Linked DNA regions of Neurospora crassa OR74A. The protein of the gene in region 6 interacts with the protein of the main gene of each other region in a pairwise test. Links are inferred from orthologs where the notes say so. Each region holds a gene or a part of one and is shown on either strand. Other genes may lie near its edges.

Region 1 (4,764 bases), on a different chromosome or scaffold from region 6:
CAAAACCCCTGAGACCGAAGCATCAGTAACCATGCAGCAGAGGTAAACTAACCCAGACCAACCAGACCCACAGACACAGGGAATGCCGGCGATAAAAGATGATGGAGGATGATTATGCATGCATGATTGTGTTGATAGAAAACGGTATAAAAATTTCAATTAACTCTCTTCCCAGAGTCCATATGCCAAATGCCAAAATAAAACTCCTCTTCCTTTTTTCCTTTTCCCCCCCTCCCTTCTGAATCCGGATCCAGGCACCGGTAAGTAGGTATAATATACCTTGGATTACTACTGCCCCTCCATCACCATCTTCTTTCCTTCCCTATCTTTACCTCCACCCCGACGCCGCCCTCTCCTCGCCCCCCTCTTCTTTATCTTCAAGTTCTCCTTCTCCTGCTTCTCATTGCTGTTCCCGGCGGAAGAGGTCGCACCGGTGCGGGCGATGTTCTCCGTAACGTGTACGAGCGGCGGGCGACTCGGCTTCTCTTTCTCGGTATCCTTGGTCTCTTCACAACGACCACTACCATCAGCTACCACAGCAGCAGCGGAAGAAGACTTGTTCTTTCTCTTCCTGTCTCTACAACGCCACTAACGCGCGCTGCCGCTGCCCTTGATGGCTTGCCTCCGCTTGACCTTGTCGGTGATACGAGTGAGCGCCGACTTTATCTCGCCCTTCTCAAAGGTATCGAGGTCGTAGTAGACGGGGGCAATTTCCTGGTTTACATAGGTCAGTTTCAAGATGCCATTGACAAAGGGAATTCATAAAAGGGGAATACGTACAAGAAGCCACTCAGGACGAATGTTGGTCACTGTCCTGACGTACTGCTTGGTTGTGAGAACGAACTCGTTATAGACGACCCAGTCGTATGGGCTCGTCACCGACGTACTCGGGTGGATCATGACGAGCTGGTCGTCCTTGACCGTCTTGTACACCTTGCTGTTGCTGCTCTCGCGCATGGCCACCTGCATGAAGAAGCCAGCCAGGAGCGCGCGGCGGATGTTGGTGTAGTAGTTCTTGTCCTGGAACGGCGTGCTGACCAGGCTAATGTCGTGCGTCTCCATAATACGCTTGAGCTGAGCCCGGACGTTATCGGCGCTCGACAGGTGACGGTATGAGAGGAAGTGCTCGTGGCACCAGCGCTTCATGTCGTCGCCATTGGTCTCGGCACCCTTGAAGGCGTGGTAGGCGTTCAGCAGCGTCAGGTGGTCGCCGTCGGGGTGGGCGAACTGCATCTTCATCTCGTCGGCCCGCTTACGCGCGTTGTTGGGGCGTACCCATATCGAAGGGACGGAGAGGAGGGACACAATGGAAAGGATCTCGTTGGAGCAGTAGAACTCGGGCGACGAAATAAGCATGACGGCGAGGGCGGGGTCAAGCGGGAACTCGGAAGCCAAACCACCGAGACGCGTAAGCTCACCATCGTCATCTAAGCAGGCGAGGTAGTTAAGCTCCTCCAGGGCGCGCATCATGGTCTCGGGCGCAGGAGGGTCCATGAGATCAAAGTGTACCAAATCCTCAACACCAAGCTTCTTCAACTCCAGAACAGTGTTGGCCAGGTTGGATCGGAGAATTTCAGGATAGGTTTGCTCAATAAGTTCCTTCTTGAAAGCCTTCTCGGTGTAAAGACGGAAGCATTTACCGGGCCGTGTACGACCAGCACGACCAGCTCTTTGCTGAGCAGAGGCCTTCGAGATAGGAGAAACCAACAAAGACTCAACACGAGAGCGGGGGTTGTAAATCTTTTGCTTGCTGAAACCGGGGTCGACGACGTAGACGATACCATCGATTGTCAAGGACGTCTCGGCAATATTGGTCGAGACAATGACCTTGCGACCAGGCCTGCCACCCTTGCGCAGGGGCTCGGGGGCCTTTTCGAAAATGCGCTGTTGGTGCGCAGGAGGGAGAGTGCCGTAAAGAGGGTAAACCTTCATGGGGCCAGCATCCGACTCGCGAATCATGTCGTCCACCTCCAAGCTGATTCTTCGGCAAGCATCCTCAATCTCCTCCTCACCAGTAAGGAACAGCAAGATGTCTCCCTCGGGTTCAGTGGCGTGGATCTGGAGGACGGTCCGTACGGCGGCCTCGAGGTAGTCACGCTCGGGCTCGGGGGTATAGAAGATCTCGACGGGATGGGTACGACCGGGGACGGCGAGCAATGGGGCGTTGTAGAAGTAGGACTGGAACTTTTGGGCATCGAGCGTGGCAGACATGACAATGATCTTGAGGTCTGACCTGCGGGCGGCGATCTGCTTGAGCAGGGCCATGAGGATATCGGTCGCGAGGGTACGTTCGTGGGCTTCATCGAGAATGATGCAGCTGTAGCGGGACATGTCGTGGTCGTGCATGGACTCGCGCAGGAGCTGACCATCCGTCATGTACTTGAGCATGGTCTTGGGGCCGGTCCGGTTCTCGAAACGAATGCTGTAACCGACTTCCTGGCCCAGTTCGACATCCAACTCGTTCGCGACACGCTGGGCAACCGACATGGCCGCCACCCTTCGGGGCTGGGTACAGGCGATGAGCTTGCCGTTCGTGTGGGGGAGCTCGTCGTAGAGGACGTATTGGGGGATCTGGGTGGTCTTTCCGGAACCCGTCTCACCGACGAAGACGAGGATCTGGGTGTTGTGGTACATGTCGAGGAACTCCTGGCGCTGCTTGTGGACGGGGAGGTCGCGCCTCACTTTGAGGATGTCGAAGTATCTCTGCGAGTGCGGCTGGCCGGTCCACGGGTTGAGCTCCGAGTCCTCGGCCTGGGCGGCCTGGGCGGCGGTGGTCTTGTGCCTCTCGAAGGCGTCGAGGGGCGATTCGAAGTCGCCATTGGTGCCGTTGCCGTTGCCGTCCTCGTTGAGATGGGCGAGGTAGGGGTTGTACTTTTCGGGGGCAGCATCGCCATTCTCGGCACGCTTGATGCGCTTTGAGTCCTGGTCGTTGCCGTCCATGTTGGATCTCTTGACGCCTTTGTCGTCGTGGCTGGCCATTGTGGTACCGACCGAGGGCAGCTGGCCTTTTTTTTATATCTTGTTTCTTCGAGCGAGAGGGGTGGGTACTAGGAAACAAAACAAGAAGACCGAACTGAAGGGGAAGAAGAGAAGCGGCGATAGGCAAAACAGAAGGCGGAGTGTCGATTATGGCACCTCCAGTGGCAGTGATGAACAACAGCGAAACAGAGTGGAGGGGAGGGCAGTGGGCAGGCATGCGAGGCTACAACTTTTTTTTTGTTTGATGTCAGGGCGATAGGTCAGACCTGGCCGGCAGTTCCTGGCCGCAGCGACTCTCGACCAATGAGGGGTCACAGTGATAAGCTTCAGTGGAGTAAGGAGTGTCTTTGGCAAGCGCTGATAAGCAAATCACTGTAGCATTGGACAGGACCCTGATGGGCACTAAGACGGTAATTTTCTACACTGTTCTGTAACTGTCAGGTTCACTCAGTTTGTTCCTGCTGCACGTGAAGAAGAAAAAAAAAAGAAAGAAAAAAAGAGGCAAAATGCAGGCAGGTTGATGAAGTTTGTGACATTGTGACATTGTGACATTGTGACTTTTGGCGCATTGGGTTTGTGTGCAATCTTTCTTTCACTCAGCTATTTCATTTTCCATGTACCTATCCATCTATACCCCTCCATACCTGTTTATTTCGAGTTGGTGACCGTTGAGGTTGGACTTTTTCCTCTGGTGCTTCTTCCCTGGAAATATCCACTGCCATGGGGTCAGTCCGTTTTGGGAAAAATAAAAAAAAAGTACCATCCAACTTTGATTTCAGTCTTTACAATTTTCCCTGTGATTGGGTCCGATACCTCATCAAAGTACAGCCTATACATTCTTCTACTGTATACAGGCCCCAGAGACTAGTATAGCTACCTTCTCCGTACCCCTCCCGCTGCTGTTCGTACCACCTCAAACCTAACCTGGACCATCGCGGGGTTATTTACTTCTAGTCTCGTCCACTCTCTTTCACTCACTCGGATTCACATAAAAGTCCAGTCACTCACTCATCATGTCTTCAAATCGCGGGTTTAACCCCGAGTCCGAGTCTTTCGAGCAACGGCCGCCCTTTTACATTGGCCAGCATGATGTCCAACGACATGAGTCGCCCACTGACAATCAGTACGGCCAGATCTTGGACAGTGGTGTAAGTCTTTCCTTACATTAAAGTAGGAAGAGAAAGAAGAACGAGCAACAGCATAAATTCTAACACACATGAGATGAGAATAGTTCAACTTTGTCACCACCCCCATCACCAACGAGCACTTTCACCAGCGCGTGATCGACTTGTACAAGAGCCATCTCCAAGAACGGGAACAGTGGGTCACCGAACGGGGACTCACTGACGCCCAAAAGGCCAACCCGTCGCTGCCACTTCCTACGGTTCCTACCTTGACTGACGACGATACATCCCTGTTTCCCAGCAGCTATGTTGGCTCGCTCATCGCCTATGCCAGCCCATGGATCGACCTCTGCTCTGCCGATCCCATCATCTCAGACATCTCCCGTCAGGTGCTGAACCTCGAGCTCGCCTACGCCAACTTCTGCGGCTCCAGGACCATCATTATCCCCGGCCCAAGACAGGACGATGGCCGTGCCGTTGCTCAGTATGCACGTGCCATTCAGGAGGCTCAGGAAGTCGGTGGTCGTGTGAATCTGGTCATTCACTTGCCCATGTACCGCGAGCCTGGTTTGGAGGAGGAGGCAGAGACGCTTTCTTCTCTCCTTGCTGGTGACGGTAGTAGCAGCTCCAACTCCAAGGAGACCGTCAAGACCGATGCTGC
Region 2 (3,224 bases), about 3.5 Mb from region 6:
CCCCTGGATTTGTCCTTGTCCTTGTGCTTTTCTTTGTCTTTCTCTTTCTCCTTCCCGAGGCGGTCGCGGTTTGATCGATGACGATGCAGATGGAGCGAAGACGGCAATTCGGTGATGGAGCGAGTGATTTGGTGTCGCTGACGATGTGGAGAGTGGGATCCTCCTTTGAGCCCTTCGACTCCATTCGGGGCGTTCGGAAACATGACGGCACTCGAGCGGCTTTCCTTTTCTTTATCGCGCTTTATCTGGTGATTCCGAGACATACCAAAGTGTAATGATGCGTAATAACGCCAGATTAGAGTACCTCTACGGGTAGGCAAAAAGTGGAGGTGTAAGCCAGGATGTACCTAAAGTCGACGGGGCCACTGACGTTGCGACGACTCACAGAGGTGCATCGCGGCGGGGACGCGGCGCAGGGGACCAATGGCACTCACTGCCCGGTGACGGGAAGCCGGCTGCCTTAACGATCCTTTCGCGGAACCTATCCAACCTGTGCAGGGGTTGCTTCACTGGACATGTGAACTGAAGCAAAATAACCACAACCAAAGTTTGTCACGAGAAGAGAATCACCTGGAAGATGGGTTTCAAGTGGCTGCAAAGCCACCAAGAATGGTAATGGTAAGCTTTTTGTTATGTTCCGTGTAAGAATTGCTTGGGGTATCAGAATATTGCTGTGGTCCCTTATCACCCGCAGTACCTAGTCATTGATGTACGCCTTTCTTTTTGGCGTTGTTTTTCCGGGTTGTTTCTCATCCATCCGCCCTGTCCGCTGAGTTCTTCCTGACAAACCACGGCCTTCCGTGGCTGCTGCGAACTTCCAACTCCAATTATGCCATGCCATTATAGACACTCATTCAAAATAAAGTAACGCCGCTACCATCATATTTGCCGAGGAAGACGCCGCGCTGCGAAGGGGGTTTGGCTTTCGTCTTTCGGGCATTGGTAGAACGGCGAGGCCGGTGATTCGGTTCGGTACCCATCGTTGGACGGAAAGGAGTGAGACGTGGTGTTCCGCATGTCCTGAGTGCCGTTCACAGCCTCCTCGTTCAAGAGTTGATAAGCTTGTTGCGCTTCTCCTTGCGCTTGAGCCTCTCCACCCTCTTCTTGTGCATCTTCTCGGCCATCTTCTCGTAACGTTCCTTCTCCTCCTTCTTTGCCCGCTTCTCCTTGAGGGCTTCGATGCGTCTCTGTGTGGAAATGATGGATCAGCCCCTGGCATCTTGTCTCCCGGATTCGTATTTGCACCAACCTTGCGCTCAGCCTCCTTCTCATCCTTAAGCTCCTTCTCCTTAGCCTTGACAGCCGCAAGCAACTGCCTCTCCTTTGCGCGTTTCTCATACGATGTCAACCCGGAGCCGGGACGGAAGGCCTTTTTGGGGGCGTGCCATTGCTTTCCTGTAGGATAATGGCAATTAGTACTTCATTCGACCTAGGATGGCAGAACGTAACGGACAAAGACTTACCATTGACCCTCATGCCAAGGGGCTTGGAAACCGCCTTGGTCTCCACCTGAGACGTTGTTTGTGTTGTTGTGGTAGTAGAGGACATTGTTGCGAATCGTTAAAGTCGACCAGCAATCCGTGCATTAGCTGGGTTTGATGCAGAGCGTTGTGACGGCGATGCCAGACGCAGAACTACCAAAGGCGGTCAGTGAATGCGGTCGCACTCGAGCAGAAAAATTTGGACGGCAGAATTGGTTATCGGGCCTGTCGTTGCAACGTTATCGCTGAGCGGGTCGTAGTATGGAGAACAGGCGTTAAAACTGCGGGGCGGACCCTCGTCACCCTTGCTTCCGGCATCGATGTGCCTGGTCTCATGTTGATGGTGACTGACGTTGGATCCCAGGGTCTGCCCCGCAGTGATAAGATAAAGTGACTCAGTCGACTGTTTGACGCTGTGGGAGACACTAATAAAAAGCCTCGAGTTGCCGCCCGATATCGCCTTTGTCTTTCTTACAAGATCAAGTTCAGGAACTGTAACTGTCGAGAGTAGCCATCCTCCGCAAGCACCAATCCGCCAAAATGTCTGAGTCCAAGGGCCGCGTCTGTCTGTAAGTAACACCCAGAGCAGTGTTGAATAACGTCTGGTGATTCCACTTGTGGCACAGGCTATTCTGGAGCTTTGACGCCTGACTGACAGTCCCTCCCGTTCATAGCGCCTATTCCGGAGGTACGATCCTGGAGCTATACAACACAAGAGATCCGCCTGCCACGAATGCAATTGCTCACCAATTGATCACCGTATACAGGTCTTGATACTTCCGTGAGTCCTCCTGAAGCTTCCCTCTGATCTTATAGAGCGCATTGACTGACATCTGTGACTGCAGACCATCCTCTGCTGGTTGATTGAGCAGGTAGAGAAAACCAACCAACCCCCGCGCTCCCCTCCCGAGCTGTAATATTAACCCGAGTGACTCGACAGGGCTACACCGTCGTCTGCTTCCTCGCCAATGTCGGCCAGGAGGAGAACTGGGATGAGGTCCGCGCCAAGGCCAAGAAGCTCGGTGCTGAGGAGATGGTGATCCTCGACCTCCAGCAGGAGTTCGTTGACCAGATCGTCTTCCGTGCCATCCAGTGCAATGCCATCTATGAGGACCGCTACCTCCTCGGCACCTCCCTCGCCCGCCCCATCATTGCCCGTGCCCAGGTCCGCGTTGCCGAGCAATACAACTGCGAGTTCGTCTCCCACGGCTGCACTGGCAAGGGCAACGACCAGGTCCGCTTCGAGCTTGCCTTCAAGTATGCTGATTCCCTCCTCTTGAGCCTCATCCGACGCACAAACACTGACGTGACACCAGGGCCTGCAACCCCGAGATCAAGGTCATTGCTCCCTGGAGACTTCCCGAGTTCTGTGCTCGCTTCCAGGGTCGTCAGGATCTCCTGAAGTACGCCGCCGACAAGAACATCCCCGTCTCCTCGACCCCCAAGGCCCCTTGGTCCATGGATGACAACCTTGTCCACTGCAGCTACGAGGCTGGCATTCTTGAGGACCCCAACCACACTCCCCCCAAGGAGCTCTGGACCCGCACTGTTGACCCCCAGGACGCCCCCAACACTCCCCAGGAGTTCACCATCGTCTTTGAGAAGGGTATCCCCGTCAAGGTCATTGTCGATGGCAAGGAGACCACTGGCTCTGTTGAGCTCTTCAAGCTCCTCAACAAGATTGGTCACGACCACGGTGTTGGCCGTGTCGATATCGTTGAGAACCGCTTCATCGGTCTCAAG
Region 3 (3,974 bases), on a different chromosome or scaffold from region 6:
GATATACATGTTACTAGTTTATCAGAGAATCCAACTCCAGCGTTTAGTCGGTAGCCTTGTACTTGGCGCGGTATTCCTCCGTCTTCTCGACGTCCTCAGGGGAGGCAAGACCCCTCATGCCCTCAATGATGTCGTCCAGAGTAAGGATGGCAAAGATGGGAATGCCGTACTCCTTGCGGAGCTCGCCCATAGCACTGGGGCCGGGCTTGCTATCGTCACCATCAGCGGCAGGGAGCTTCTCCATGCGATCAAGAGCAACGACGATGCCAGCGACAATGCCGCCCTCCTTCTCGATCTTGGCGATAGCCTCACGCTTAGCAGTGCCAGCAGTGATGACATCGTCAACGATGAGGATCCTCTTGCCCTTCAGAGGGGCGCCAACAATGTTGCCTCCCTCGCCATGGTCCTTGGCCTCCTTGCGGTCGAAAGAGTAGCAGATCTTGCCGTAGGTCTCGGGGTCAAGCTGGGCAAGCTTGTCGGTGGCAGCAGTAGCGAGGGGAATGCCCTTGTAGGCGGGGCCGAAAACAATGTCAAAGTCCAATTGGCCGCTCTTGTGAGCCTCGATAATGCACTTGGCGTAGGCAGTGGAGATGGCCTGGAGAAGGTCGGCACGGTAGAAGTCGCCGGCGTTGAAGAAGTAGGGGGAAATGCGCTTGGACTTGAGCTCGAAGCTGCCGAACTTGAGGACGCCGCCGTCGATGGAGGCCTTGAGGAAGTCAGCCTTGTAAGGCGAGAGAGCGGCCATTGTGCTGGTACGTAGTGTTTGTAGGATTGGAATTGAAGCTGAAAGAAGAAGAAGAGATTTCAGAAGAACAGCGTTGACGTCTGTCTGCCTGGCAACTGAATAGCTGGAGGAACCTGGGGAAAATTGAGAAAATGGAGGGAGGGGCCGAAGGAAGGGTTCAGTTCCTGGCGGCGTCACACGCGGCAGTCTTTCAACCGAGTCAATCAGATGGTGGGTTACGAGTGGGCCACCTAGTTCCAGGAGCCAGGCCCGCGAAAGCCCGGTCATCGGCCACTTGGGCGCGGTGGGGTCCCTGAAAAAATGTGGGGTTAGAAAATCCTAAATTCCACACTAGCCGAATCCTTAAGCACCCCTTGGCAGCATGTCTTGGCAGCGCACACTACCTCTAGGTTCAATCCACTTTGGCACTCTGCTGTTATCTTATCGATTGGAGCAGCCGCTGGAAAAATATTTCGAAGTAGACTTTCCATTTGGCAGCGCAGCGCCTCCCCGTCGCCCTCCAACACCGCCCCCTCCCCCCGCAGCCGGTCTCTATCCTTCAGACCGTCCGTCCGACCTCATTGTCCTGCACTTCCAGTCCGAGATCTTCTCACCAGCAAGTGCTTGACATCTATACCCGAAATGACGTGGAAGGACATTGCCCCTGTGCCTACGTAAGGACATCTTGGTTGTTGTGTTGTTGTTTGGCATCGCTAACTCGCTTCTACAGGGCACAGGAATTCATCGACATCATCCTCTCGTAAGTCGACATCGGCAGCCCCCAACCACGACGATGCGAAGTCTTCGAGTTCGAGTCCAATGGCTTGGCCACGGTGGTGAAGGATATTAACTGTTCAACAGGAGGACACAGCGTCGCTTGCCGACTCAGAGTATGTTGTACAATGTGGAAAATTACGTGAAGCATGGCATGATCGCTAACCTTTACTTTGAATAGTTCGTGCTGGTTTCAAGAGTATGTCGTCTCGATATCCGATACTTTGTATGAGAATTCGAATAGATCATTGACACGCGACACCGAACAGTCAGCAGAATTAGAGCCTTCTACACCCGTAAGGTCAAGTTCACACAGGAAACATGCAGCGAAAAGTTCGGCGCCATCGTCTCGAGCTTCCCCATCCTCGCCGACCAGCATCCTTTCCACCGCGATTTGATGAACATTCTCTACGGTACGAATCCCGCGCTTCCCTGCGACAGGCGGTTTCAGCAACAGCGGGTTGTGAACCGCGCCTGGTCTTGTTGGGAATAGTGGCTGACAAGGTGATGGATAGATGCCGACCACTTCAAGGTTGCCCTTGGTCAGGTCTCGACCGCCAAGCACTTGATCGAGACCATCTCTCGTGATTACGTCCGTCTCCTCAAGTACTCGCAAAGTTTGTACCAGTGCAAGCAGTTGAAGAGAGCCGCCCTCGGTCGTATGGCCACCCTCATCAAGCGTCTGAAAGACCCTCTCGCCTACCTCGACCAGGTCCGCCAGCATTTGGCCAGATTGCCCGATATCAACCCTACCACCCGTACCCTCCTCGTTGCCGGCTTCCCCAACGTCGGCAAGTCTTCGTTCGTGCGCTCCGTCACCCGCGCTGATACCCCTGTCGAGCCCTATGCTTTCACCACCAAGAGCTTGTTCGTCGGCCACCTCGACTACAAGTACCTCCGTTACCAGGTCATCGATACCCCTGGTATTCTCGACCACCCTCTCGAAGAGATGAACACCATCGAAATGCAGTCAGTTACTGCCCTTGCCCATCTCAGAGCCGCCGTCATGTTCTTCATCGATATCTCGGAGCAGTGCGGTTACTCGCTCAAGGCCCAGTGCAACTTGTTTAGGTCCATCAAGCCCCTTTTCGAGAACAAGATGGTCTACGTTGTCCTGAACAAGATGGATATCAAGACCGTTGAGGACCTCGACCCCGAATCCCAGGCCGATCTCATGGACCTTACCAAGTCCGGCAACATTCAGCTTTTGCGCGCCTCTTGCGCTACTCAGGACGGTGTCCAGGAAGTCAAGAACACCGTTTGCGAGGCTCTCCTCGTTGAGCGTGTCAACCAGAAGTACAAGGCCGGTACCAGCAGCAACGGCACCATGGGCTCCCGTCTCACCGAGGTCATGTCCCGTATTCACGTCGCCCAGCCCGCCGATGGTGTTCTCCGCGAGACCTTCATTCCCGAGGCCGTCAAGGGTCTCAAGAAGTACGACAAGGCCGACCCCGAGAGGAAACTTCTCGCCAGGGATATCGAGGAGCAGAACGGTGGTGCTGGTGTCTTCAACGTCGATCTCAGGGAGAACTGGATCTTGGCCAACCCCGAGTGGAAGTACGACAAGATTCCCGAGGTCAGTATCTCTCGCATTCCGTCTCCCCCAAATTAAACCCGGTTACTAACATGTCACGCTTTGACGAACAGATTGTCGACGGCAAGAACGTCTACGACTTCATCGACCCCGATATCGAGGCCAAGCTGGCCGCTCTCGAAGAGGAAGAGGAGCGTCTCGAGAAGGAGGGCTTCTACAAGTCGGACTCGGACCTCGGCGACGAGTCGGAGGAGGAGATCCTGCAAAAGGCCGAGTACATCCGCGAGAAGCACAAGCTGATCCGCAACGAGGCCAAGATGAAGAAGTCGCTCAAGAACCGCGCCATAATCCCCCGGAAAATGCAGAAGAAGTCGTTCGCCCAGCTCGAGGACCACATCGACCAGCTCGGCGTCGACACCGAGGAGATCAACCTGCGCGGCCGTGCCCAGGTGCGCGAGCCCACTCGCGGCCGCTCGCTGGCCCGCAGCCGCAACGCCACCGAGGACCCCGACGCCATGGAGGTGGACACGCCCAAGAGCGCCGCCGAGCGTCTTCGCTCTCAGAGCCGTCCGGCCCAGCGTGGCCAGGGCGCGACAAACAGGCGCGACGACGGTGTTACTGGTGGTGTGGGCATGGACGGGGAGACAGCCCGCTCCAAGGCCGAGAGGGTGGCCAAGCTCGGCCAGCGCAAGATGAACAGGATGGCCAGAGCCGGCGAGGCCGACAGGCATATTGGTGCTACCATGCCCAAGCATTTGGTACGTCTTTTTTCTTTTCTTTTCCCCTTCCTTCAATCCCCCTTTTCTCTTTTCTCTTTTCATTCCTAAACTAACCACACATGTTTTCTATAGTTCTCCGGCAAGCGTACCGTCGGCAAGACACAGCGTCGTTAATTTGGATCGATGATCCATATATGTTTGGGTTGGGTTGGGTTGGGTGTGT
Region 4 (4,754 bases), on a different chromosome or scaffold from region 6:
AGCCAAACTTTGTTCACACGCGCGAATCGAAAAGTGAAGAGACAAGAAAGAGGTGGAAAAAGTGGATGGATGGATTACGCCCCGAGGAGTTTTCATGTCAATTGCAGCTGCCTGTTATTCAGAGACATCATCCATGGCAAGAGACAAATCACTTCCGTTTACGTCACCCGTACCTGCCGCCGTGACACCCAGGGTCCAGCTTCTGGGTGGGTCAGTCGAGCTCGCCGCAAGGCCCCCTGATCCGCAACTCCACACCCAATCATAGTCCCATGTGAAGAGGCAAGTCTGACCTTGATGATCACGACTCTCTTTGCTGAGGGAAGCAGACAACATCATCAGACAGCTTCTTATTTCTTTTTGCCCACTCGGGTATCAAAAGCACACTAGACTTAGCTTGAAGCTCAATTACATTTAGAAACTCAACAACAACAACAGAATCGTGCTCCTCACATTTACTTTCTCCTGCCCTTGCCCTTACCACCCTTACCAGCATTGCCGCCCTTCTTCTTAGGCCCAGCAGACCGTCCCACCTTCTTGACGACCTTCTTGAGGTTCAGCACCGCGCCCTTACCGGCTCTCTCGGCGCTGCCCTTCTTGTATGTCCTCTCCTGCTTGCGCTCTTGCATGGTGTCGAGCTTCTTCCTGTCCTTGTTGCTCAACTTGCCCTCGTTCTTGGACTTGAGCTTGTCCCTGACGCCGTTGAGCTCGGCCCGGCCCGCCGCCTTGGCCTTCTTCTTGTCCTCCTGCGTCTCGAACCACGTGCGCTTGGGCCTCGAGCTGATCTCGTCCTCGTACTTGATCATGTTCTCGCCCTTCTTGACCTGCATCTCCATGTTCTGCAGCTGCTTTTCCTCCTTCTCTTCCTGCATAATCTCCTCAATCTCATCTTCCAACTCGTCGATCTCGGCCTGCCACTTGTCGGCGTCCGCGGGATCGATGATGCGACTGCTGATCTTGGCGCCCTGAGACTTGCCGGCCTTGACGGCAGCCTTGACGACCTTGCGATCGGGCTCAGCAGCCAGGGTAATAGCGGTACCGCTGCGGCCCGCACGCGCTGTACGACCGACACGATGGACGTAGATCTCGGGGGTCTGGGGAGCCTCGTAGTTGATGACGGTGTCGACACCCTTGATATCAAGACCACGTGAGGCGAGATCGGTGGCAAGGAGGAAGTTGACCTTTCCATCTCTGAAGTCCTCGACACTTTGAATACGCTATGGATCCTGTTAGTATCACTCATCCATCTGGAGCATCGTAAATCGTAAACATACCTGAGCCTGGTTCATGCTACCGTGCAACTCGGCGCACGACAATCCAAACAGACCAAAGATGATCCTCATCTTGTGCGCAATCTTCTTTTGTCTGAAGAAGATAATGACACGCTCCGTGTAGATAGTCTTGCAGATGTGCAACAGATATCCTTCCCTCTTCGATTCGCGACCGGGTCTGAGACGGACAAACTCTTGAACAAGCGTACCGGCAGTCTTCTTCTGCGAATCGGCCATGATGCGCACAGGCTTGTTGAGACCGGCGCGAATGAGCCTGTCGACAGACGACGTCATGGTGGCAGAGAACAGCATGGTCTGGCGGGACTTGGGAAGGGTGGTAAGAATCTCGTTCAACTCGTCCGCGAAACCGTCCTCGAGCATGCGATCGGCTTCATCGAGGACGAGAATCTCGATGGTGTCGACGGCGAAGCTGGCAGAGTTGCGCATGTGATCGATGAAACGACCAGGAGTGGCAATGACCACATCCGGGCGAAGACGGAGCTCGGCCTCTTGCACCTTCAGACTGAGACCACCGACAGCCAGACAGAACTTGATGTCGGTATGGCTGGCGAGCTTGACAGCGACAGCGTGACACTGGATAGCCAACTCACGGGTGGGCGTAAGAATAACGACGCGGGTGGTGGGAACCTTCTTGGGACGGTAGAGGAGACGCTCAAGGATGGGAACGACGAAGGCGGCCGTCTTACCGGAACCGGTGACGGCACCACCGACGACATCCTTACCCATAAGCGAAATGGGGATGGTCTTGGCCTGAATGGGCGTCGGCTTGGTGAAGCCCACGGAAGTAAGACCGCGAAGGATAGGACGGGAGAGAGACATCTCCTGGAACGAAGACATCTCGCCCTTCTTCTTAGGCTGATTCTCCTCCTCCGGCGCAAAGAACTCCTTCATCTTGGCCTCCTCCTCCTCATCAATACCCTCTTCATCATCCGATGACTGCACATCATCAGGATGCTCAACGGCCGTAGCAACCGAGTCATCATCCGACGCATCGCCCTCGTCTTCATCCTCTCCCTTCTTCTCCCCATCTTCACCCTCACTATCCTCATCCTCCCCATCAACACCCCCCATCTTCGCATCCTGCTTCTCCTCCTCCTCTTCCACGTCCGACCCAACACCCATACCAAAAGCATCGTCAGCCAAGACACCATCCTCATCATCATCCAAATCCACATCAATCTCTTCTATGTCGTCTTCTTCCTCATCAACCTCCATCTTATCCTCCTCCTCTTTTGTCGCCGTGGTTTTCCCCTCCTTAGCAGCCTTCCTCTCTCTCCTCCTTCTGATAATCTCATCGATATCCACAGCCTTCTTGTCCCCGCCCGCGTTGGCGCCCTTCACAACACCCTTGTGCGCGCCCTCGAAACCCCAGCCGTCGAACTCGGCGTCCACTTCGTTCTGGCCGTCGACAACGAACTGGAACTCGGTATCCATGGCGCCGTCGTCTTCGTCGTTGTCGCCCCAGATGCCGAGGTCGGCGGCGTCGTCTTCTTTTGTTTCGGCTTCGTCGTCGTCATCTTCAGTCTGTTGCTGTTTCTTGGACTTCTTGTTGTTCTTCTTCTTTTGCTTGTTCGATTGTTGTGTGGCCGTCTTGGCCTTCTTCCTGGGTACAACTTCTTGCTCCTCTTCTAGTGGGATGTCTTCTTCATTGTCGGAAATGGTGAGGATGAAATCGTCGTCGATCGCTTTGCGCTTTTGGGAGGGCGCCATTGTGGTGGATGGTGTTGCAACGGTCTGTGACCGTTGTTTGTTCTGTAGTGTTGTGTTGGAAAAGAGAACGACGGGAAGCTCCCGATGCTGAGTGGGAATTGGTGGAATCGTCAAGATTGTACAACTGATAGCAGTCAGTGGGGTCTTTTTTCGTCTCTTCCTCCGCCGCAGAACGAAAGGGAAAACAAAAATTTGGGAACCATGCCCGTCTGTAACTTTTTCTGCCGGGCGGTCAATGTGATTGGAGGATCTGGGGATCTTATCAGTGGCAGCTGGTCGACAGCTGCGGGGATGGGTACGTACCATCTCAACTATCAAGTGAGTACCTGCCGTCTTCGGGAGCAACTCGTTCAACACCACATTGTCCCAAGAAATTGAATACGCGTTCATGTTATAGAGCCAGAGGACCTTGTCCTTACTACAGTAGGACTATATTTATACTTGTGCGGGGCATATGGTCCAGCTATTCTCAACGCAGATGTATCAGCCCGTATTATATGATGATACTACACAGGAGTCATCTACCCCGTCGATACCCAAAATGAACGCCAGACACCTTGCCAATGGTATAATGCTAATCCTCAAACCTTCGCCTCCAAAACATCAGTTGCCCACAACGTAACTTTCTTCACATGGACCGCCACATTATCACTCGTGCTACCGTGTGGAGAAGCTCGCCGACGCTCCAAGGAAGTCCTGGTCATGCCCCTGGTCCTGCTGGTAAGTCTCCTTCTGCTTCTGCTTCTTCTTCATTTCAGCGCGGATTCGTTCTTTCTGCGCCTTCAAATGCGCCATTTCAACATCATCCAGCAAGAATTTCTGCTCATCGATATCCCTTCCACGTCCGGACGCGGATGCTTGCGGGTAGAGAGGGTCTCGTTGATATCCGTCACCTGGCAATTCGTGCTCAACAATATCCCACGTAGCATGATAGTAGCCATCTTTGGTTGGTGGCAGCTCAGCATGCGCCCTTGGCTCCTCCAGCTTACGGATCGCGCCGCTTTCCATTGCAGCGTACTCCTCTGTCGATGCGTATGGTGGTAAAGGACCGTTATTACTGGCGCTCGGGAGATCAATGTCCTCCCATGGATGTCTCCTTTCCATCAGAGATGCGGGTTCGCCTTGTAATTCAACTCCTCTAGGTGGTCTTTCAATCATAGACTCGTCGGGAGGCACTGTAGGCGAAGTCACAGCTGGAGTGGGCGTTACTCGGTTGGGTCCATATGAGACGATTAATGGGGGCTGTGGCCGTTGGGTTTGTGAGGTTGTTGGGTTTGGTCGTGGGAGCGTAGTAGGAACTGAAGGAAGAGGAAGATGTGGTGTTGAAGTTGGAGCTTCGGTTGGAGGAGGGGTGGTGTACTGTTCGTAGTTGTGGTAATCGGGGTAATAGCCACCGAGAGGTGCTGCGGAGGCCGCAGATAACTGGGGCAATGAGGGCATTGGGGGTACTCCAAGCCGGCTGTCAAGGGAAATCGAGTCGGCAGCAGCGCGTTCATTAAGTTCTCCCCTGGAGCTTGCCCGCGGCGTTAGCGTGGGAGTGACAGGGTTCGGCCCGTATGACGTAGGAATTGGCTGGACAGTCTTTGCGCGGGCAGCTTCGAGTTCTCGTCCGGTGATGCTCAAATTTTCCGTCACCCCAAGCCCGCCTCCAAGTCCTGCTCTCTCCGTACTTCTCTCCCACGCACCTCCTGTTGCAGCATCGTGACCCCAAGGTCCTTGATTGTATGACCATGAAGGCGAATGTGGCATCACAGG
Region 5 (4,511 bases), on a different chromosome or scaffold from region 6:
GCGGAAAAACATTTTACTTGAATCCTGTCGACTTGATCAATCAAGACATGGTCGATCCGTTGACGGGGCTGTGCATGACGGCCATTGCGGACGGCGGGGCCGGGCCGTATATTCTGGGGGATGTGTTTATGCAGAATGCCTTGACGGTTTTCGATGTGGGGAGGGGGAAGATGAGGTTTTTGGGGAGGGAGTTTTATTGAGTTTGTCGATAGGGATATGTGAGGGAGGGGAAGTGATGGGAAGGGAAAGGAGAGGATATTGGGAAAGGGGAAGGGGAGGATATTGGGGACGAGGTGAAATTTGGTAAAGTTGTTAGGTTGGTTTGTGTCGGGGAGTTTCCGTCTGTTATGTAGTTCAGGTTCGGGGGGTCGATTGGGGCTGCAGATAGAATAGGTATCGATGTAGGTCGTTCTGAAATAGTAGACTGTCATCAGTGGGTTGTTTCATGCTTTGTTGTTGGAGGTTAGTGTTGAGTTGGTACCGGTTGTCAGCTACCTAATTTGGGTATTGATTATGAATCCCTACAAAGGATCCTTGATAGAGAGTGACACTCAGGACCTCCATGCTTTCCATCAGCCATATCAACATCACGATCTTTCCAATTGCGTAGCAAAATAGATATGATGTGGTTTGTTCAAGGTCTTTCTTACCATTTATCAAATGAAACTGTCAGCATGATAATATGTTCCATCCTCACATGGAAAGACACCCGAGATGACCGAACGGCACAGCATCAGAAATACCACACCAACGGAGCAGCAACGTAAAGTAAAAATTAATTGTTGATTTGAAGCCCTCCAGTTTTACTTTTCAACCAAAAACGCCTTGGCAGCTTGCGCAAACAACAACAAGTAAACAGCAAAGTAGCAACACAAAAGAAAACACCCACTATGCTCCACACCGAATGCCCGATGGATATCTAAGAGAGAACATTGACAAATCATCATCCCCTTTTCGTATTCTAACCAACAACAACAACAACACGAACACCGAATCCCGCCTCGCTTAGTGACGGTTCTGCTTCGGCTGGCTACCATACGCTCTCCTGCTCGTCTGCTTCTTGTCACGCGACATGCTGGAGGCCAGGGTGATGTCTACCCTGGGAGGGGTGGAGAAGCCGAAGGACTGTTTTTGTAGTACGTTAGTGACTGTTCTGGTGTTGGGGAAGAAAAAGGGAGAGAAGAGAAAACATACCTTGGCCACCTTAACCAAGTCAAGCTTATGGATATCAAACACCGACCGCAAACTGTGCGAAGCATAGGCGTGGAGATACGACCTGTAACCGTCCTTGGCGCTCTGGTTAAGGTAGTAGTTCTGGCCGATCAGCTTCTCCAGCTGGGACTGAACGTTGAGGATCTTGCTCTTGGGGAAGTCGTATTCCACAACGGGGACCTTGGCGGCCTTGAGATGGGCGAGGAAACCCAACTCGTTGGGCTGGAGGAAGAGCAGCGAACGGCCCTTGGTGTTGTTACCACGGGCGGTACGACCGACGCGGTGAATGTAGTCGCGCGGGTCATCAGGAGGATCGAACTGGACGATCCAATCAACGGCGGGGATGTCGAGACCACGGGCGGCAACGTCCGTGCAGATGAGGGTGCCCTGCTTGGCGTTGCAGAATTCGAAAAAGGTGTTTGTGCGCTTCTGCTGCTTCTGCTTGCCGTGGAGATCGAGAACCTGAAGATCGATGTACTGGAGAAGTTCGGAGTAGTACTTGACCGAGTTGCAGGACGAGAAGAAGACAATGACCTTCTTCTTCTGCATCTTCTTGAGGAAAGAGAAGAGGAGCAGGAAGCGCTTGTCGGCGTCGACGACAACGTAGCCTTGGTCCAGACCCTCGACCGTGCTGAACTGCTTCTCCTCATCGACGTTGACGTAAAGAGGACCGGGACGGAGCGAGATACGGGCGAGATCCTCAACCTTGGTGGTTTGTGTGGCGGAGAAGAGCATGGTCTGACGGTCCTCCTTGGGCAGGATCTTGATGATCTGGCGCATTTCGTCCTCGAAACCAATCTCGAGAATACGGTCGGCCTCGTCGATGATGAGCGATCGCATGTTCTTGAACACAAAGGGAGTGTTTTGCAGGTGATCGAGCAGACGACCGGGAGTAGCAATGAGCAGGTTGACGCCCTTGCCCAGCTTCTCGGCCTCAGCACGACGGTTGGCACCGCCGATGACGACACCGTATGTTTGGGAGTGGTTCTTCATGAGCTCGCGGGCGACGCCGAAGATCTGGAGAGCCAATTCGCGGGTAGGAGTGACGACAATGGCACCGGTACCGTTTCTCGGCTTGAAGCGCAGGGAGCTGAGCATCTCGATAGCGGGAATGAGGAAGGCGAGGGTCTTGCCGGAACCGGTCTTGGCCGCACCGAGGACGTCCTTGCCGGCGAGCAGAGGCGGGATACCTCTCCTCTGGATCTCGGTCATCTTGGTGAAGCCCATTTCGGCAATGGCCTTCATGGTCTTGTCGGACAGGTTGAGCTCGGAGAAGTCGGTGGCATTGGTCGCGATGGACGGGGCGATGAGGGAGTCGTTGGTCTTTGTGAGTTCGTCGCCGGCCTCAGCGTCCTTGTCGTCGCTGTCCTCCTTGTCCCCGTTGCCGGTGGGGATGACCTCGTCGCCATCTTGTTGTTCCTCCGCCTTTTGGGCATCGTTCTCCTCCTCGGGGGTGGCGTCCTCGACGACCTCTTCGGCGGCCTTCTTCTCCTTCTTGTCCTTCTTCACCTTCTTGGTCTTCTTGTCGGTGGCGGCGCCATCTTCGGTCGCAATCTTGGCGTCCTTGAGCTTGCGCTTCTTGCTAAATTCGGAAGCCATCGTGATGGCGTGGGGGGGTTGGTACTGTCGGTGGGTGGTTGCGATACTCTGGGAAAAGGGCGTCGCAATGGTTCCGTTCAAATTCCCAGCGAGTCGAATCTGTTATCCTTCCTCTGCCTTCTCTTTCGCTGGGGATTTTTTTCTTATCGCTTGTTCGATAACCAGGGATTACACCAGGCGGTGAAAATTTTGCCAATTCTGCCCTCTTCTCCTGATGAAAACCTGGTCTGTGCGCTACAGCCGTCCCAGTGTTGACCCCACTTTTGACTGCAGATCAGCCGAACCCCGGAACCCGCCAATTGTGCCCCCAATTGCTTGCGAGAGTCGAGAACTGAACTTGTCCATTTCCTCTTATCTTCAAATCCGCATTATGTTGTTTTCTTCTCTGATATTCGTTTATTATCACAACGCTTTCACCTCTCCTGCAATTACTCCAGTCTGTCATAGACATGATATACTCAACGTAACCGCGTGTAGTCGGTCTTTCATGTTCGTTGTCCCTCTCACGGAATTAGGCTCTGGATGTCGTCCATGGTGGCATTGCTTTACACTGCGGATATTCAAACGCTGTACAGTACCTCTGAGATCCTGGCATTGCAGTATTCTTCTTATGTTACATTTCTATTCCAAAGGTTTAGTGGATTGAGACAGACCAGTCAATAGCCTGGTGGACTTTGCAGTTCCCGTCCAGCGGACGACTTCGAAGGCCTTGACACAAGTCCATAGTCAGGCTACGGGTTGCCTTGATCGATAATCGATAATTCGGGGCAGCTGGAAACTTACCCCGTCTGCGGGATACAGGGCGCAAGATTGGAACGTACCAGTCAGCTTCGAATCCAGGTCCCTGGGTTGGAAGTGTCACTCGCCGAGAGGCCCCTGGGTCGATACATAACAGTACACATGGCAGATCAATATCCTCGCATCATTACATTGGCTGAAGTGAAGTTTCATGAACCCCTTCGGAATCCTTCATATTCTCTCAAGGCTGACGGGATGCTATCTTGGTCACGTCGGAAGTAACAACACCTTTATTACATGAAAACATGATCATTTTCCATGGAGTTGACCGAGTCACAAGTGTGGTTCGGTCTTTGGCTCACTGCTGCCTTGGGTCGCATCTTTCCACGATCTGAGGCTGAGAATGGTTCCAATGGGAGGTATCAGCACGGAAGTTGATGTTCATGATATAATCTGGTCCCATGGCCCTATTCTTCAACACCACTCGCTCAACACCACGGACAGACATCACGGAAACAATCCAGAAGGCATCCCATAAAATAAAATCGGACAAGAACTTCTGGTTCTTGAATCGAAACCACGTTTATGTTAAATCTCGATACACTCTGTATCTCACTTCCCCGTCTTTCTGCTGCCAAGTGGTGCCCCAGGAGGCGTAGACACGGCTCAAGCCGATCGGGCTGGTAATTTGGCTTCGAATTGCCTAGCTCCCGCTTGCCCCTTGCGATTGACTTTGGCTAGTAAACAAGGTATGGGGTCTCGAGCTACGTATAGCCTTGCTTGTAGGGCTGGACTATGGGAGCAGAGGACAAACATGGATGGAACAAGTAAGGGGAGATGTCATTGGATCATTTCTTGCTTGCCATAACAACCGATAGATAACTAGACAACAAGACTTTTAGTCAGTAAAAGGTTTCGTTCGATGGAACTCATCAACACCGAACATCAATGCTTGGTCGTTT
Region 6 (4,136 bases):
CCTTGCCTACCGCTACGGACATATCTTTCTCGTTTCCTTCATCAGCGATGGCCACGTCGGTAGTCCGGACCAGGAGCAAACAAGTGAGCTAGTCTCAAACACTTCACTTCGTCTGCCGGTTTGCCACTGCTTCATACCTCTAGAGTGGTATATCTTCTGACGGCTGGTTGACGAGGCCAGAGCCTCTCAAAAGAGTAGGGAGATCGCCTAAATCATGACTGGTTCTTCTGGTTTCATCCATTGGGGTTCCGGTTGTTTACCTTACCTAGTTTGGCTTAGTTGAAAAGCTGGTTTGCACATTCTCTGGTAGATTTTGGCTTCAAGGAGAGGGTGACTACGATGCATCTTACCGATTCCTGCGCTTTCCCGGGGCCATTAAAGCTAGGATCCCGAGACATGGGCAAATCGCTTCTTTATATCGCTTCGAGTAGCTCTTCGTTGGTACGGTATCAGCGTTTCGTTGACCGTTGAGTGGTGGCAAGTGGGCTTGAAGAGTACAGAAGTTACTCGTCGGTCTGGATAGAAAATACCTGCTTTTGATTCTTGGAGGCTGGGTTGACCCTGGAGTGATGAAGCTCGGAACTGCTCTCCTTCTAAAATCAAGATACAGAAGACAAGCTAGATGCTCTGAGCTGATGTAGAAGTCAATGTGTTGCCCTTGCGTTAGTTGCTTGCGGTGTTGCATGTCAAATCGACCAGCAAATTTCCATCGACTCAGGATGCAGGGTTCCATACAGCCATTTAGACCTTTGTAAGGTTAATCGCTTGCCAGCATAGTCTGCTCGAAACCCATGGGAGTCAACCTAGATCAAGCGCAGCAGCAACCAGAGAAGATATATCTATGTGTCTTATCGTATTAATCCATGTCTTCTAAACCATCAGGTGATACAATCAACCAAAACAAATGATCGGAGGGTATAATGTTCTACCGCAGATTGTGTGTGTATCTTAACCACTATACTACCTAAGTGAACCCCCGGACGAGATATTTTGCGCGGCCGTGAGTGTCGATCCTCTTTCAAAACACCAGACGCCAGTCCCAGATGCAAAATCAGATTTAACGCAATCCCGTTACAGTTGCCGCCCAAGAGACTAGACATATAATTAGACAAATCAAACCATCACCCTCTTCACTCTTGCGCTTAAACCAGGAGCACAGCGTTCAAGCATCCGTCGTTCTGGTGGAAGTTAAGTATTAGCAGTTCGTCCATGTAAAGTTAAGAGGCGGGGTTGTGCTGGTCATACCTCAGGGTTGTTGGTGATCTGCGCATAACGACCCCAGGCAATTTTGCCCGACGCGGTGACCATACCAAGATCGGAAACGTTGACCTCGATAATAGTACCCTTGGACAGAACACCAAGCTGGGTATAAAGGGGGTTGCTGGGGTTCTTCTTGACGCCGAGAATGGGGAGCTGAACCGTGACATTGAGGGTAGGGTGGGTGACGTTGGCCTTCTTGTAACGGAGACCCATGGGCCGGATGAAGCGTTCGTACTTGACTGGGCGTCTGGTGAAATCGGGTCCGACGAATGTTGGCTTGGTGACGACGCGCTTCCAGCCCTTCTTGTGCACCTTCTTGCCCGTCTTGACGACCTTGAAAAGCTCCTCTTCGCTGATACCCTTGACCTTGGGAATAGGGACCGAGAAACGAGCGGCCTTCTCGGCACGCTTGCTCTTGATCTGGGAACTGCACGAAGAAAACGGTCAGTCTCTCGTCATCGTATGGGACCCTTTCCAACCTCCATGACTACTGCCATCATTGCATTCACATTGGCCTCCACCTCCGCCGCGGCCGTTCGCTTCTCATGTGTCCTCCCATTCAAGTGACGTACCTCAAAGCCTTCGCACTCGTGGGGTTCGAACGGTCGAGCAGATAAGCGGGAACGGGGTTCGAAGGGTCCTTCTCCTCGGGGGCGCCCTTGACATTGCGCTCCTCGTGCTGCTTGATGGCCTTGCGCATCTGGATCTTCTGGGCATGACGCTCCTTGGCAAAGAGCTTGGCCCTCAGGCCACGCAAGTTCTGTGCATTCTCGCTCTGCTTGTGACCCTCACGGGCAGCCTTCTTGCGTGCGCGCTCCTCGGTGTCCAGACGCTTACCGTGAAGCTTCTGGGCGCGTTCTGCGAAACGAAATAATTGGTTAGGGACTGGAAACAGGTCGACGGTAATCAAGATCGAGTGCGAAGGGAACTATACCGATGTATTCGTTCTGAGGCTGTATTCAGGAAAACGTCGGTTAGCATGGTCTGCTCTCAAGTGATCGGAAGGGGTCATGATGTTGAGGAGAGTGGCTGTGGATTGGGAGGGCAATTCGAAGAAATGATATCCGTACCATATTGGTGTTTTAGGCCCTTTGAGGGTCTTGCGGTTCAAGATATGTGGCGACGCAATCTGGCCTTCAGATGTTGTAGGGCGACGAAGGGCGACGAGAATGACGATGCGGTTTAGGTCAATATGCTTCAGTACCTCTACCTATGCGAATGCCTGCTGAACGGACGTCTTGAAGCCGATAAAAAAACCATTCAAGGCTAGCTTTCCTTATCGGGCGGCTCCTCCAGTGGCGGAGACCCGTAAAGAGGTGGACATAGTGGGGCAGCTTCATCACCTGTCATTGGTTGATATCTACTTAACAGCATGTCCAGGAAAACGTGGAGTGGGTTCGGATGAAGGTGCCTGCCAGCTGCAGGGCATTGGAAGTGCACCGCGGCAGCCAGAGCCGCCCGTTGAGGACGAGAACCTTGATGGAAGGCCAGTGGACAACTTTTGTATAGATCCGGAGATCACCTTACCATTCGTAGAATGGCTCCTGCAACTAGGTTATTACCAAGGGACACTAGTTGTGTGGCTCGCATAACCCGCTTCAACGAGCACAGTAGGTATGTCAACAAAGGCAAAACCCAAAGACGTGGTATGCTTGGGGGTGTTAAGATATCTAGATATGCTACACCGTGTCATGACAACCTATACTATAATTCGTCCGACGGGCTCTATTGCCAGCCAACGCCCGCCAATGAAACCGGAATCCGTGCAAAATGACTAAACTCCAGACGCTGATGCAAAATGTTTCTGGGTGTCCGTCCTGTCTTCCAGCCAACGCCATTGCAAAACCGTCTCCAGAAAACGAATTCCTGCCTTGAAATTATCACGATGCGCCGAAACCTTCCCAATTTAGAGGCAAAAGAAAGAAGGAGACACGCCACGCAACCACGACATATCAGCGGTCTCCGGCTCTGGACTTGAGTTTTGCAAGTGCTGCCCGCTTTCTTTCCTCCTTCTCGCGCTTCAACCTCTTCTCCAGCGCCTCCTGCTCCATGTCTTCTCTGCGAGCCTGCAACTCTGCCCGGCGTTCCTCCGCGTCGATGTCGGACAATCCCGCCTCCATGTCTGAGTCATCCTCTTCCAGTGACTCGTAACCACCGCGACGACCATAGCCGTAGCCATCGTCCTCATCTTCGTCGTACTCGATGAAATCGTCCAACTCTTCATCCTCCTCCTCGCGTCTCCGGGGACGTGAGAATGAGGCGCCATAACCGGACAGCCCACGGCCCCTACTTGCGCCTGCCGAGGTGGATGCTCCTGGTTTTGTGGTGGTGGCCCCTGGGCGGGGACGTGCCGTGCCTTGGTATCCAGTCGTCGCTAAAGCAGCCTTCTTTACCTTCTTCTCCTCCACGGCATTTTGGCCTGTCTTGGACTTGGCGCCAGCCGGGGCTGAGGGGGTGATACTCCGCTGACGGTTCGCAGTCGTGCCGTTGGTACCATTGCGGGTTGGCCCAGCTGTCACACCGCTCCTCCCGGTAGTCGGTGGCCTTACATCCTTCTTGCCCTTTTTCGCTTCCTCGGCCTTTAATTCCTTGCGTTCCTTCAGCGTCAACTGCTTCTCCACCTTCTTGTGCTGAATCTTTCCAACGGATGACAGCATGGGCTGATTGGCCTGGGCCCTTGCCATGATCTCTGCATAGGAGCGTTTCTTCGGAGGTCCAGAGCCGGCGACAGGAGCGCTAGGGGCGGGTCGGCTGACGAGCGGTCGCGAAAGTGGAGCCTTATTCCCATTCGAGCTTGTTCCTCCCACCTTTGACTGCGTCGATGTGGTCTTGGTTGACACCGGAGCTGTTAGTTTCGTGGTCGAACGTGGTTGCGC
Region 7 (4,108 bases), on a different chromosome or scaffold from region 6:
CTCATCCCACAACAGCCTTTGAATCCATTCAATAAACAACCCACAAACCATCAACATGCCTTCCACCGCTGCTTCCACCAAGGTCCCCCAGACCACCATGAACTTCAACGGCTACTGCGTTGTTATGTAAATAACCTCACAGCGCCTTGAAGGGCCAACGAGAGCATTGAGAGGCAGATACCAACCAGCTTTCCTTCAGCAACCTTCTGGCAAACCACCCATCTCACCTGAGTGATCCTGTTCTCGCAACATCACTCGATGAGAACCAGTGAAGATCGGTATCTCGCCTCTCAACGTCAGACCAGCAATCTGCTTTTCCCTCTATCATGATTGAAAAGCCCACCTCTCGTTCCGCCACAACAGCAACCTCGCCTAGGAAGCTTCTTGTCTCTGCTTCATGGTGGACTCTGCACAATGGGAGCACCCACTGACAACATCCGGAGCGGTGAGGATCTTTCCTTGATGGGAATGGAAAAAACCTTTGTCAACCGGGGATATACATCCGCACACATCACACACACCATCCTTTCACATAAACGACTTTCGCTTCTTTTTGTTGGGGATAACTTCACACGGGACTACTTTTCGTCCACACGGAGCTTTCCCTCTTCAATTTTCGACACTCAGGCAACTCACCTTATCTTTCTGGACCCTTTCTCTCTTTTGTCGTTGATTCGACACCAAACACCCTTTGCGGACTGAGGACATCGCCGGCGGGAAACGATGCAGCAACTTCTCTTTGGTTCACACTCTTCGGCAAACGTCACCTGGGAGTCGGCGGACTCACACCTTCCAACCTCAACCTCTTCCATCTGCTGGGAGGGAGCTATTTCGCGACATGCTTCTCTCTTTTGTTGGGTGGGACTTGCACGGGCTTGGGTATGGCGCTTGGTTCACCACTCCTTTTTCTTTGCGCACTTTCTTGGAATTTTCTTGGATAGGACTGTAGAGGAGGGAAGTCTTCCTTTCTGTCTTGGCAGGGAGGGGGGACTCGCGGGATGAAATTTGTGGAGGGGGAGGACCATGTGGGGAGTTTTCACTGTATCTTTCTGATCTTGGTTTGCGGAGGGGAGGGATTGTGGGGGTGAGTTGGCTTGGTTGAAGGATTTGAAGAGTGTTAGTTCTTTTAATAAAAAAAAAACCCCGGTTGACACCATATCTTTGGATGCTCTCATGACCGTGACTACCTCTATGATTGTGAATTTCATTATCATCGTATGCCTCTTCGTAAGACTTTTCAGAGCAACTGACTTTAGTGATAAAGCTGTCAACTTGCAAATGGAACGCTTGATCGATCATCAAGGCAAGATACGCGGAGGAATGGCCTCGGCTCCGAGAAAATATACTACATCCCATTACATGTATCAGCTCGACGTCCCAGACATATTTCTGATCTGTTTCGGCCAGGTTAGGTTCGTGATGTTTGCGCGGGACAAGGCTCCTCCACTGAACGCGAAGTTTGATGTATCAGGAGACTCGTGTTGAATCACCTTGACACAGGCTGCGGGTAGCTTACGAGAAACTGGGCAGAGATACACAGGGCATGGTGATATACACTAGCAATCAATCTTGAGATCACCGAGAAAACGCAGTTCGGTGGGTGACCATCACCGTGACTACAGGCCCATTGTAACTCGTAACCTGAGGGTTGGGGTTTGATGTGCCAGATTCAGAGAGAGTGTGAAGGGCACTTCCAGGAGCTGGGCTGTGGATACCTCTATGCCGGGCGCCAAGCATCCACATTTGGGTCCGCCTCCGACCCACCAGGCTTATCTTATCGGGTAATGGCAGCCGCCATGTCAAAAAAAAGTTTCCAGAACTGCAAGCGCTGCCGCTTCTCGAGCTCATCATCCAAATCGATTGTACAGCAACCCCACATAATCACAATGCCGCGACAGTCCACCCGCACAAAAAAGCCGGCCACCAAGGCTCTTGAGGCTGAGAAGATCGAGAAGATTGTTGAAGAGAAGCCCCAGAAGGAGCAGAAGAAGCGTGGCAGAAAGCCCAAGCAGGTCGTCGAAGAAACCCCTGTAGAGGACAAGATGGATGTCGAGGAGGAGCAGAAGGCGGAAGAAACCACCACTCAGACCAAGGCCGACGAGAAACCAGAGCAACAGGAAGAGGCCGGTTCAGATTCTGAGGAGGGTAGTGACGACGAAGAGGACAACGATCTCGATCTTGATGCACTTGACGAATCCGATTCCGACTCAGAATTCGAGCGCGACCTGAACGAGAAGCAATCCGCCGCCGGCATCCAGGCAAACAAGTACCAGAAGGCCGCCGAGGAATCGAGCGACGAGGAGGAGGACGAGGATGAGATCGACATTGATGAGCTCGACGTCGACGGAGAAGAAGGAGAGGAAGTCAAGGCCATTTCGAGGGCGCGCCAGACAATAAACAACAAGCAAGGTCTCCTGACGGCGCTCAAGCGCTTCGCCCTCGACACAACCGACAAAGTCCCATTCGCCTTCCACCAGTCCATCGTTGCCAAGAAGGTGACGGAGGAGTCCATCCCCTCGATCGACGACGACCTGGCCCGCGAGCTGGCCTTCATGAACCAGGCGCTCGAGGCCGCCCGCGTCGGCCGCGCCCTCCTCCGCAAGGAGGGTGTCCCCTTCACCCGCCCTACCGACTACTTTGCCGAGACGCTGCGCAGCGACGAGACTATGGAGAAGGTCAAGGCCAAGCTTATCGAGGAGGCCACGGCCAAGAAGGCCTCGGCCGAGGCGCGCAAGCAGCGCGACCTCAAGAAGTTCGGCAAGCAGGTGCAGGTGGCCAAGCAACAGGAGCGTGCCAAGCAGAAGCGTGACACACTCGAAAAGATCAATCTTCTCAAGAAGAGTACGTGCCTCTCCTACCCTTCTCCTTCCCCTTCCCTTCTTAATTCCATAACAAGTTCTCTTCCTCTTCCTTCCCCTCCCCAACTTGATGATAACTGAAGCCAACTAACCTCCGCCTCCTTAAATAGAGCGCAAGGACGGCGGTGGCCCCACCGGCGCCAACGAAGCCGAAGACCTCTTTGACGTTGCCGTCGACAACGAGCTCAAGGGCGGCCCTGGCGGCAACAACAGCAAAAAGCGCGGCCGCGACGGCAAGGAGGGCGGCGGGCCCAACGCCAAGAGGCAACGGAAGGATGCCAAGTTTGGCTTCGGCGGCAAGAAGAAGTACGCCAAATCCAACGACGCCCTCTCGTCGGGCGACGTGAGCGGGTTCAGTGCGAGGAAGATGAAATCGGGCGGCCCAGCAGGCGGCAAGCCCAAGAAGTTCAAGCCTGCGCCTAGGCCTGGTAAGGCTAGGAGAAAGGCGGGGGCTGGAAAGAGGTGAAGTGAGTAAGCTTCACTGTGGCAGGAGCGAGAAGAAGCAGTGGAAGTGAAGAGCGGTGTCGATGCCATGATGGGTAATCTGTTTAGTTTCCAACCTAGTACAACAAAAGGTCAGCACGGCAGGTTGGTGACAAAGGTGGTAGTAGCGTGTATGAGTATACATCATCATGGGACCGGTCATACAACAAACATCATTGAAGGATTCAGATCAATTCAGTAGCCACTACCTTTACTTAGATACCTAAAGAGTTCTTTTCATGCCTTACAGTTTGATGGTGTTACCCGCTTGGCTCAAAGGTCCTTTTCTCATATCATTCATCTTGCAGAATGGCTATATCCGTTCACCCGAACAAACGGGTTCCTTACTTTCACCTTCATTCAAAGGCCCCCGATGTCGGCTCGTGAACAAAAACAAATCTCGGTCACTACAGTTTGTGAGAGTATCATCCTGTCACGGACGAGCCGCGCAAGGGCCATCGCTACTTTAAGACTAGGTACTTCAGATACACTAATACACGAGACATCCCCCTTTCACTCCTCGAACCCGCATGGTAAGGGGTTTGATGCGCAACACCATCGTAACGCCTGCTTGCTGCTATTCATCGAGACGAGCCTAAACCCAAACCCAGATTCAGACCCAAATAGACCTGGGAAGACCCATAACCACCAACGCCAGACATAGACCCGCCTTTCCTGAAGCTACAAGCAAATAGAAGAAAGAAACAACAACACAAAGAGCGGCTCATCCAATTCAACCCCACCGCTGTGTGGGATTAGGACGAAAA

What was found.
Region 1: the proteins of NCU00981 (region 6) and NCU01612 interact in binary tests that used the Saccharomyces cerevisiae proteins (3 or more experiments, as listed by UniProt). The link is inferred for Neurospora crassa OR74A from reciprocal best matches to the Saccharomyces cerevisiae genes NSA2 and PRP43.
Region 2: the proteins of NCU00981 (region 6) and NCU02640 interact in binary tests that used the Saccharomyces cerevisiae proteins (3 or more experiments, as listed by UniProt). The link is inferred for Neurospora crassa OR74A from reciprocal best matches to the Saccharomyces cerevisiae genes NSA2 and CGR1.
Region 3: the proteins of NCU00981 (region 6) and NCU05289 interact in binary tests that used the Saccharomyces cerevisiae proteins (3 or more experiments, as listed by UniProt). The link is inferred for Neurospora crassa OR74A from reciprocal best matches to the Saccharomyces cerevisiae genes NSA2 and NOG1.
Region 4: the proteins of NCU00981 (region 6) and NCU11175 interact in binary tests that used the Saccharomyces cerevisiae proteins (3 or more experiments, as listed by UniProt). The link is inferred for Neurospora crassa OR74A from reciprocal best matches to the Saccharomyces cerevisiae genes NSA2 and DRS1.
Region 5: the proteins of NCU00981 (region 6) and NCU09349 interact in binary tests that used the Saccharomyces cerevisiae proteins (3 or more experiments, as listed by UniProt). The link is inferred for Neurospora crassa OR74A from reciprocal best matches to the Saccharomyces cerevisiae genes NSA2 and HAS1.
Region 7: the proteins of NCU00981 (region 6) and NCU01257 interact in binary tests that used the Saccharomyces cerevisiae proteins (3 or more experiments, as listed by UniProt). The link is inferred for Neurospora crassa OR74A from reciprocal best matches to the Saccharomyces cerevisiae genes NSA2 and EBP2.

What each region holds. Positions count from the first base shown.
Region 1 is NC_026502.1:2,956,631-2,961,394, reverse strand, and holds NCU01612 (pre-mRNA splicing factor ATP-dependent RNA helicase PRP43), read right to left. Parts: upstream 3,204-4,764; 5' UTR 2,980-3,203; coding exon 781-2,979; intron 715-780; coding exon 589-714; 3' UTR 102-588; downstream 1-101. Other genes in the region: pp-2 (protein arginine N-methyltransferase HSL7), read left to right, coding at 3,993-4,127, 4,211-4,764. UniProt on the Saccharomyces cerevisiae protein: Pre-mRNA processing factor involved in disassembly of spliceosomes after the release of mature mRNA.
Region 2 is NC_026501.1:3,022,643-3,025,866, reverse strand, and holds NCU02640 (hypothetical protein), read right to left. Parts: upstream 1,583-3,224; 5' UTR 1,549-1,582; coding exon 1,464-1,548; intron 1,396-1,463; coding exon 1,250-1,395; intron 1,188-1,249; coding exon 1,047-1,187; 3' UTR 612-1,046; downstream 1-611. Other genes in the region: NCU02641 (hypothetical protein), read right to left, coding at 1-263; arg-1 (argininosuccinate synthase), read left to right, coding at 2,022-2,050, 2,156-2,169, 2,249-2,262, 2,327-2,353, 2,422-2,738, 2,798-3,224. UniProt on the Saccharomyces cerevisiae protein: Involved in nucleolar integrity and required for processing of the pre-rRNA for the 60S ribosome subunit.
Region 3 is NC_026504.1:5,445,681-5,449,654, forward strand, and holds the start of NCU05289 (nucleolar GTP-binding protein 1), read left to right. Parts: upstream 1-1,174; 5' UTR 1,175-1,366; coding exon 1,367-1,398; intron 1,399-1,454; coding exon 1,455-1,484; intron 1,485-1,585; coding exon 1,586-1,614; intron 1,615-1,679; coding exon 1,680-1,697; intron 1,698-1,767; coding exon 1,768-1,911; intron 1,912-2,013; coding exon 2,014-3,074; intron 3,075-3,145; coding exon 3,146-3,790; intron 3,791-3,883; coding exon 3,884-3,925; 3' UTR 3,926-3,974. Other genes in the region: NCU05290 (orotate phosphoribosyltransferase), read right to left, coding at 44-745. UniProt on the Saccharomyces cerevisiae protein: Involved in the biogenesis of the 60S ribosomal subunit.
Region 4 is NC_026503.1:3,109,789-3,114,542, reverse strand, and holds NCU11175 (ATP-dependent RNA helicase drs-1), read right to left. Parts: upstream 3,171-4,754; 5' UTR 3,000-3,170; coding exon 1,272-2,999; intron 1,215-1,271; coding exon 453-1,214; 3' UTR 316-452; downstream 1-315. Other genes in the region: NCU00234 (hypothetical protein), read right to left, coding at 3,657-4,754. UniProt on the Saccharomyces cerevisiae protein: ATP-binding RNA helicase involved in ribosome assembly.
Region 5 is NC_026502.1:4,196,327-4,200,837, reverse strand, and holds NCU09349 (ATP-dependent RNA helicase has-1), read right to left. Parts: upstream 2,955-4,511; 5' UTR 2,812-2,954; coding exon 1,195-2,811; intron 1,126-1,194; coding exon 1,006-1,125; 3' UTR 730-1,005; downstream 1-729. Other genes in the region: NCU09350 (aspartic-type endopeptidase), read left to right, coding at 1-200. UniProt on the Saccharomyces cerevisiae protein: ATP-dependent RNA helicase involved in 40S ribosomal subunit biogenesis. Required for the processing and cleavage of 35S pre-rRNA at sites A0, A1, and A2, leading to mature 18S rRNA.
Region 6 is NC_026501.1:6,508,361-6,512,496, forward strand, and holds NCU00981 (ribosome biogenesis protein NSA2), read right to left. Parts: upstream 2,518-4,136; 5' UTR 2,334-2,517; coding exon 2,331-2,333; intron 2,214-2,330; coding exon 2,195-2,213; intron 2,119-2,194; coding exon 1,833-2,118; intron 1,688-1,832; coding exon 1,246-1,687; intron 1,179-1,245; coding exon 1,143-1,178; 3' UTR 854-1,142; downstream 1-853. Other genes in the region: NCU00980 (hypothetical protein), read right to left, coding at 3,213-4,136. UniProt on the Saccharomyces cerevisiae protein: Involved in the biogenesis of the 60S ribosomal subunit. May play a part in the quality control of pre-60S particles. Under normal, rapid growth conditions, high levels of NSA2 would allow the progression of pre-60S particles through the ITS2 processing.
Region 7 is NC_026505.1:3,393,320-3,397,427, reverse strand, and holds NCU01257 (hypothetical protein), read left to right. Parts: upstream 1-1,830; 5' UTR 1,831-1,886; coding exon 1,887-2,841; intron 2,842-2,968; coding exon 2,969-3,324; 3' UTR 3,325-3,608; downstream 3,609-4,108. Other genes in the region: pheromone mfa-1, read left to right, coding at 56-130. UniProt on the Saccharomyces cerevisiae protein: Required for the processing of the 27S pre-rRNA. Probably involved in the step of the processing of the 27 SA precursor into the 27 SB intermediate.